Linked DNA regions of Sus scrofa. The protein of the gene in region 1 binds, or shares a complex with, the protein of each later gene. Links are inferred from orthologs where the notes say so. Each region holds a gene or a part of one and is shown on either strand. Other genes may lie near its edges.

Region 1 (3,819 bases):
GAAACCAATCTAAGAAAATATTGCTGCGATTTATGTCAGAATATTTTGCCTATGTAATTTTCTAGGGAGTTTTATGGTGTTCTGTTTTATATTTAAGTCTTTTAGCCATTTTGAGTTTATTTTTGTGTATGGTGTGAGGGAGTGTTCGAACTTCATTGATTTACATGAGGCTATCCAGTTTTCTCAACACCACTTGCTGAGGAGACTGTCCGACTTACGATGTACTTCAGTAAGCATAATACCCTCCATGTCCAGGATATTAGTTCTTTTATACCTTTTCCTCTACACTCTCATTCTTCTACTGTAATTAGGTCATACTTTTAAAAAAATTTGTATTTGGTGTTTTCATAATTGTGACTGTATAAAAACTATTTGCTAAGCCAATACTATGACTATCTTTTCTTTCTTTTTTTTTTTTTGTCCTTTTAGAGCCACACCCACAGCATATGTAGGTTCCCAGGCTAGGAGTGTAACTGGAGCTGGAGCTGCCTGCCTACACCACAGCCACAGCAATGCCAGATCCAAGCCGCATTTGTGACCTACACCACAGCTCATGGCAACGCTGGATCCTGAACCCACTGATCGAGGCCAGGGATCAAACCTGCATCCTCATGAGTACTAGTCAGATTCGTTTCTGCTGAGCCATGACAGGAACTCCCCTATGAATATATTTTCTTATAGAACATTTAATTTTTATCTATTCCACACCTATCCACTCCCTACCCACCTCCTGGGAAATAACCATCCTGGTCCTCAATAATAATATTGGTCTGGATTTGTTGCCTTCTAGCCTTCTACATAGTTGTTACCTAGGATTTTCTTCATTACCGTACTGGGAGTTCTTTTTCCTCTATATTTATTTGATTCCATCTTTACTGACTGTCATCTTGATTTCCTTCCTGATTTTGATGGAATATATATTCTCCACCAGGTTCTTTTGTTTTTGTTTGTTTAACTTGTTTGTTTGGCTGTAGTGTGCAGCTGTGTGGTTTGCAATCTCAGTTCCCAGACCAGGAATTGAACCCGGGTCACAGCAGCAAAAGCATGGACTAGCCCATGGACCACTAGCCCATAGACCACTAGTTCACCAGGGAACTGCCTCTCCCCTAGATTCTTGAGAAAGGGTGATAGAAGCTAAATTTTTGGTGACTTTGCCTTTATAAAAAAAAAAATGTCTAAATTCTACTGTAACCATTGATTATCTGGTTATAGCATTCAAAATTGAAAGATAATCACTTAAATTTTTTTTTCTTATTTAATAACATAGAAGCTATGTGCTCATGATTCAAGTGATTATAGATAGAGGAAGTATGTTTAATATGAGGGAGTTTTTGGAATGATGGAACTATTCTGTATCTGATTGTAATGGTGGTTACACCAATGTCTACCTGGGTTAAAATCTCTAATACTGCATACCACAGAAAAAACTTCAATTTGCATGTTTGATAGATTAAAACATGAAAAGTAAATTAAGACGATTTCAAAGTACAGAAAGAGAGCAAAAAAGGAAGTCTCTTTTTCTCTCTCCCTTAGCCTTCCAGCTTTTCTTTCTGTAAGAGACCACTGTTACTAGTATTATTTTCCCACTTTCACTCTTAAACATCTAAACATTCAGGGATAAATCAGGCAGAATTGAAAGGAACTTGGAGTTGTTCAAGTATTTTCAGAGATTGCTAAGATTATTACTCTTGGAATAGTTCTATGTATGTTATTAATCAAACCTGGCACTAATTTATTAAAATTATTTCCCCTACAGTTGGCAAACATGAATTGACTGGTCATAAAGTTGCTGTGAAGATACTCAATCGACAGAAGATTCGAAGCCTTGATGTAGTAGGAAAAATCCGCAGAGAAATTCAGAACCTCAAGCTTTTCAGGCATCCTCATATAATTAAATTGTAAGATCTGATTATATTAAATGTACATGTTATTTCTCATTATTTTTGTTAACCTGCTTAATCTGACAAGTGAGAAAGATGAGTGACATTTCTTCAGTCTGTTCCTGAGGGTTTTAAAACTTCTTCCCATTTATGTATTTATCTAACCCCATTCACGGTCACTAAAGCCTATGTCCATGTTTTGCCCTTGTGCTTATCGGGTGTTATCTATCTTATTCTTTCTTGTCCTCTGGACTGATGCCCCTCTGATAGATCACCTGCAGCACCCCTATTGCTATAGCGCCAAGAATGATTTGCTAGTAAAAACTCTTGACCTCCAAATTTCCACATGTCAGCCTCACTAGAGACATTGCAGTAGAAAGGGCTCCCCTCCCCCTCTGCCCCCCCCACTGCTTATATCTGATAAAGCAAATAACAAATAATAGATTTCAGGAATTCAACATTTCAAAAGGTGGCAATACTATCATTGTTTTATAGTTGCCAATTGTAGGGTCTATAGGTAACTGTATACTGTTCAGCTTTATTATGCAGGCTGTGAATGAAAACCATTTAGACTTTTGTATTGAACTGGCTAACTCAGAATTTGTTTCATGCTCACCTCTTCTCATTTGTTGAGGTGCCATGTTTTAGGTACCATCCTTATGCTGGCGACCGTTAAATATACATCTCCTCTTTTGAAACTTGTTCCTTAATTCCCGACTCATATGTCCACAGCCTGTTTTACACCTCCATTGGGGTATGCACGAGGTACATGCCCAAAACTGAACTCTTTATTTCACCATCTCAGTTAATATCCTCAGGGCAGAAACTCAGGAACTATCCTTAACTTTCCTATCTCTCTCACTTCCTACCCTCCATTCCATCTCTTCCTTCAAAAATAAATCTAGTATCTGAGTGTTTGTCAGTTCCTTATGTCATCAACCCAGTGTGAGCCACCTTTATCTCTCTCTTGGACCACTGCAGTAGCCACCTACTACCACCTTACTGCCCCCAGTCAGTTCTTCACACTACTGCTGTAAACTAAAGTTACTCTTTTAATCAGCCAGATCACAGGACAACTTTGCTTAAAACCTTCAGTAGCTTTCTTTCTCCCATGGAATAAAAGCCAGAGCCTCATCATGGCTGTAAGGTCTTTGTAAGGTTTTCTGTTACCTCTTGGAGGCCACATCCTGTTTCTCTCTTCTTGCTCACTCTGTTCCAGCCTTCCTACCATTGCTCAAACCTGCCAGGCAGGTTTCCACCTGGGGGCCTTTGCACTTGCTGTTTCCTCTGCCGGGTTTACCGTCTTCCTAGATAATGGCAGAGTTAGTTTCCTCACTTCCAAGGCTCTGCTTAAGTGTTACTTCATCAGAGAGGCCTTCCTTGAACACCCTGTCTGAATGATTCCCTTTAGTTTGCTTTTCTCCTCTTCATAGCATGTTCCACCACCTGAGATATTGCCTTTTTACTTAGTGTCTGTTTCCTGGCTCCTGGAACACGAACTCCATGAGAGTAGAGAATTTATTTTGTTCCCTACAGTTTTCCCAGCTCCCGGCGCAATGCCTGGTGTATTGTAGGCACTCAGTAAATATTTATTGAATGAATGAATATACGTGTTTAATACTGGTAGACAATGTTTTCTCTCACCAGGTACCAGGTCATCAGTACACCATCTGATATTTTCATGGTGATGGAATATGTTTCAGGAGGCGAGCTATTTGATTATATCTGTAAAAATGGAAGGGTAAGCAGTTCTGATTTAATCCTATATATATTTTGTAACTTCCCTTATCCCTTACTAGCATCAAAAAATACCAGAAAGCAATTTTGTTAAGAGGTCTATTTAATAACCAGTTCCTTTATTCATATATTTGCCTAGAATCAGAGACTGTTTAGAGCTAGGAAGGATCTTAAATATTATCTCCGTACTACTTACACAGAT
Region 2 (3,919 bases), on another chromosome or scaffold:
TCTTGCAAAACTGCCTATCAAAAGGTTGTGCACCCCTCAGTTTTTTGAAAATACATTAATAATGTAACCAAGCAGGGCCCTGTGGGGCTCATAGGCACAAAAACTTTTCTGTGTCCCCAATTTCTTGTTTTTATGAAATGTGCCTCATTCAGCCTTGTTGGCCTTCCCTGAGTTCCAAGGGGCAGGTTCAGACACCTACTGATCAGGGAAGGAAGGAGAGACAAAGAGAGAATCAGTCAAGCAACAATGGTACAGCCTTGGGGCAGGATTCTGGTTCCCTCTCAAGGGATACACATAATGATGCAGGCGTCTTATATACCAAGAGAAAAGTTATATTCTTTATGCTTCCTTTGGAAATGAATACTTTAAAACTGAACACCTTAGAGCCCTTCCTTGTGCTTCTCCCTCACTTGATTTCATCCTAAACACAATCACCTGTAAACTAAAGTTTAGGCACCCTGAACACAATTGCCTGTGAGTTAAAGATTATTAGCTGTGATGTTTTCCAGGAACTTTCCTAGTTCTAATCTCTGATCAATATGCCCTTTTCACAAGTAATGTTATTCTCAGCAATAACCCAGAAGACGGTGATCATGCCGAGATCTCCTGATTCCCACTTTGATGACCAAGATTCCCCCAAAGTAAGAAGAATCCTGTCTCTTATCTGGAACCTTGTTTTTCTCCTTTTAGACTATAAAATTCCCTTCAATTTCCCCCCAAGGGATGGCACAGTCTTTAAGGGATTAGGCTGCTGTAGCTTCGTTTGCCTGGCAAAGCAATAAAAACTAGCTTTTTTCTCCTTTACTCTGTCTCCGTGTTTCTCCTGCCTTTTATGCACACACCCCCACCCACAAGATACTAGATGTGAGAAATTTCCAGAGAGCTTATGGTCTGTCATTATCTCAAACACCTGCAGGACTACTTGCATCAGAATCACCTGGTGTGCTTATTAAAATGCAGATCCCAGGCCAGAGCTTCAGAATCACAATTCCCAGGAATTAGGGGCAAGTGAATCTGCATCTTAAACAGGCACTCCAGGTGATTCTAACACACTCAAAGGTGTGAGAGCGAGCACATGAAAGATCTTTAAGGAATCGCTTAACTAAATATGCCTTTTAGAACGACCCCTTTGGCTGTAAAGGGAAGAATCAACTTTAAGTGGGCAAAGATAACCAGGGTATCTAACACCATCATTCATCCCAGCGTGGGGAGGACGTCCCACATGGCCGGCGCGCTTCAGCACCCCCTGCCGGCCCTCAGCAGCCTCGTCCCGGGCGGCCGGAGCGGTCAACTGCGACAGCGCTCCCCGAAACCCGCAGGGGCGGTCTGGGGCTAGTAAACGCACGGACGTAGACCGGAAGCGGAAGTGAGGTCCGTTTGCCTGGCGCTCTTCTCAGAGCGCAGCCACCCCCCACCCGGTGGCCCCCGCCGACTTGAGGAAGTGCCGGAAGCGGAAGTTCCTAAGAGGTGGGGGGAGTTGTTGGTTAAGTGTCGGCTTGTCTTTGGAGCTTGGTAGGTTCCCCTTCTCCCCTCGGCTGATTGAGCAGGTAAAGCGCGATTGTGAGACCTCGCCAGCCCTGCCGGCCAAATTCAGGCCGGATCCCAACTTCGAACCCTATTCTGAGGGGTGTGGTACCCGGTGCTCCGACTCTCCCGGGTCCTGGTGGAGGTCCCGGGAGTCCCCGGTCCCTTCTCTGGGCAGAGGCTCGGTCCGGCTTCCCGGTGTCCACGTAAACCCCCGCGATGGGTAATACGAGCAGTGAGCGCGCTGCGCTGGACCGGCAAGGGGGTCACAAGACTCCCCGAAGGGACAGTTCGGGGGGCTCCAAGGATGGGGACCGGCCCAAAATCTTGATGGACAGCCCTGAGGACGCTGACCTCTACCACTCCGAGGAAATTAAGGTAAGGTAATGGGGGTGGAGGGATCCGTTTCTCCTTAATTTCTTTTGAGAGCTACTAGATCCTCCCGCCATATTCCCCTAATGATCAGAAGTCAGAGAGCTGTGATACTTCACACTATGCACTTAAAATCCAGATGGCCCTTTTAGTAACCCAGGAACCTGTGTCGAATTATCGATAAGACAAAGTCACCCCGAGGGAGGAGGATTTCACTTCGTTTAACATCATTAAGGCAAAGGCAGCTCTGGGACAGGTTCAAATCCTTAATTAATTAAGATCGTGGAGTTAGCAGTAATTGAGCTCTAGTCGCTCCTTTTCTCTTAGGTATAATTAATTTCAGAGCTTTGAGAAATCTTTTACCACTTTCATGCACACGGGCGTTTTTTGTAATAGTTTTGCAGTTTATCCTCAATTTTGGAGATAAGGCAGAACACCTGTAAGGTGATAGTAGTGTTCACCAGCTGACCGCAGTTCCCAGAGATCTTTAGTGTTGCCTAAACTTGTGGTTCACGCTTTAGAGCAGGCATAGAAAAGTAATTTGACTTCTGGAGGTCAGTAAGTGAAGTATTAGTCTGAAGGAGGCAGCCAGTTGCTACTCAGCTTCTCTCTCCTGTTGTTTAAATATGACTTAAACTTAATGTTTAATGTTGATGTTTGCCAAAGCAAATGTTTTTGCAGGCCACATTTGGGCATCCTGCCTCAGTCGGCTTGTTAACTCTTAAAAAACTCTGAAGACAAAAATCTTCATTCCTGCTTCAGCTACTTTCCTGCTAAGCATCATGTGGTCTCTTTCTAGAAGGCAGGGCCCAGTCCAAGGACATTTAGTGATTCTAGCAGCTGATAGGTATATGTATACCCTTAAAAAAAAAAAAAAAAAAAAAAAAAATTCCTTAAAGGGCAGTGCAACAAAGTCAGTTTGAAAAAGATGACCCTCCTCCCCCACACACACGCATTCTGTTACCATCCGCTTGCTTGTTAATCATCACTGTCCATTAGGCTAATTGCCTGGTAACTCATCCCTTCTGTACTCAGATTTTTTTTCTCAAATGTTGGGCTGAGTCACGTTATTGTCTTTTGTCCTCACCTGGATCTTGGCTCTGAGGCTGACTCTAAAGAGTCTGCTTTTACTTGGCCCTCCAGCCCGTGGTTTCAACTTGCTTTCTGAATTTGTTGCATTCCATTGCTGTGTGCAAAGTGAACTTTGGGATCCTGTTTCTTCGATGACTAGACATCCCTTCCCCCAAAAGTAATTATGGCCCAAGGGCAGCCATTTAAGACACCCTAAGAATCAAACCATTTTCTTTAAGAAGCACTTGTTCTTCTGCTGTTTTAAAACCTTACAAGAAATGTTTGGCATACGGATACTCTGTAAAGAATGATTTCAAATAATTTCCATTACTACTTCCTCAGAAGTTATGAAATGATGAGGCAGACACATTGGATAGAATGCCGATTAAAAAAAAAAAAGTCATGGATTCTTTTAACTACACTAGTTCACCATTTTGGCTGTGATTAGTTATCACACCCTCAGTGTAAAGTGATTCCAGTCTGTTATTCTTTAATCTGTAGATCTTGTGAAAACTCAAAGAATGCAAGTATCTTCTGTGTGAGCTCAGGTCAGTATTTGAAGCGAAGATACTAGAAGCCTACTTGAGACCTATAAGAGTCTCTCTCAGCTCCTGCTCTCTTCATCTTTGTTTTTGGACTAGGAACAATGTAAGAGACCCAAAACCACATATACTTCACCCAGAGCTAAACAGGTTTATTTGTCTTGTTCCAGAATACCTCGGTTATACACTTCCCACACAAGCAGTTATTTTCTGTAATGAGGGCCAGTCTTTATCTTCTTTGTCCACTTCTCCCTGGTGCCTGGATGGCGCTCAGTGAATAGGTTTCTGCTTCCTTAGAGCCTGGATTTGCCAGTTTTCAAGTTGACAGCTCTGAAACGGTCGTGAGAAATTTTTGTGTACTTCAAAATTTTGCTTAAGGAAGGAAAATAACATTCATTAAGCTGGTCTTG

The links.
Region 2: the proteins of PRKAA1 (region 1) and PRKAB1 are in contact, whole or in part, in a crystal structure (PDB 6C9H), measured with the Homo sapiens proteins. The link is inferred for Sus scrofa from reciprocal best matches to the Homo sapiens genes PRKAA1 and PRKAB1. Residues at the interface, in NP_006242.5 of Homo sapiens: Gly20, Val22, Lys23, Ile24, Thr32, Lys40, Lys42, Asn59, Arg60, Ile63, Arg64, Val69, Ile72, Arg73, Ile76, Gln77, Val93, Ser95, Thr96, Pro97, Ser98, Asp99, Ile100, Phe101, Met145, Met175, Ser176, Asp177, Gly178, Glu179; in NP_006244.2 of Homo sapiens: Pro79, Val81, Arg83, Leu103, Pro104, Thr106, Val113, Ile115, Asp159, Phe160, Glu161, Val162, Phe163, Ala165, Leu166, Met167, Val168, Asp169, Ser170, Gln171, Arg201, Ala202, Pro203, Pro204, Ile205, Leu206, Pro207, Pro208, His209, Leu210.

What each region holds. Positions count from the first base shown.
Region 1 is NC_010458.4:25,762,845-25,766,663, reverse strand, and holds part of PRKAA1 (5'-AMP-activated protein kinase catalytic subunit alpha-1), read left to right. Parts: intron 1-1,756; coding exon 1,757-1,898; intron 1,899-3,527; coding exon 3,528-3,621; intron 3,622-3,819. UniProt on the Homo sapiens protein: Catalytic subunit of AMP-activated protein kinase (AMPK), an energy sensor protein kinase that plays a key role in regulating cellular energy metabolism.
Region 2 is NC_010456.5:33,215,074-33,218,992, reverse strand, and holds the start of PRKAB1 (5'-AMP-activated protein kinase subunit beta-1), read left to right. Parts: upstream 1-1,366; 5' UTR 1,367-1,743; coding exon 1,744-1,902; intron 1,903-3,919. UniProt on the Homo sapiens protein: Non-catalytic subunit of AMP-activated protein kinase (AMPK), an energy sensor protein kinase that plays a key role in regulating cellular energy metabolism.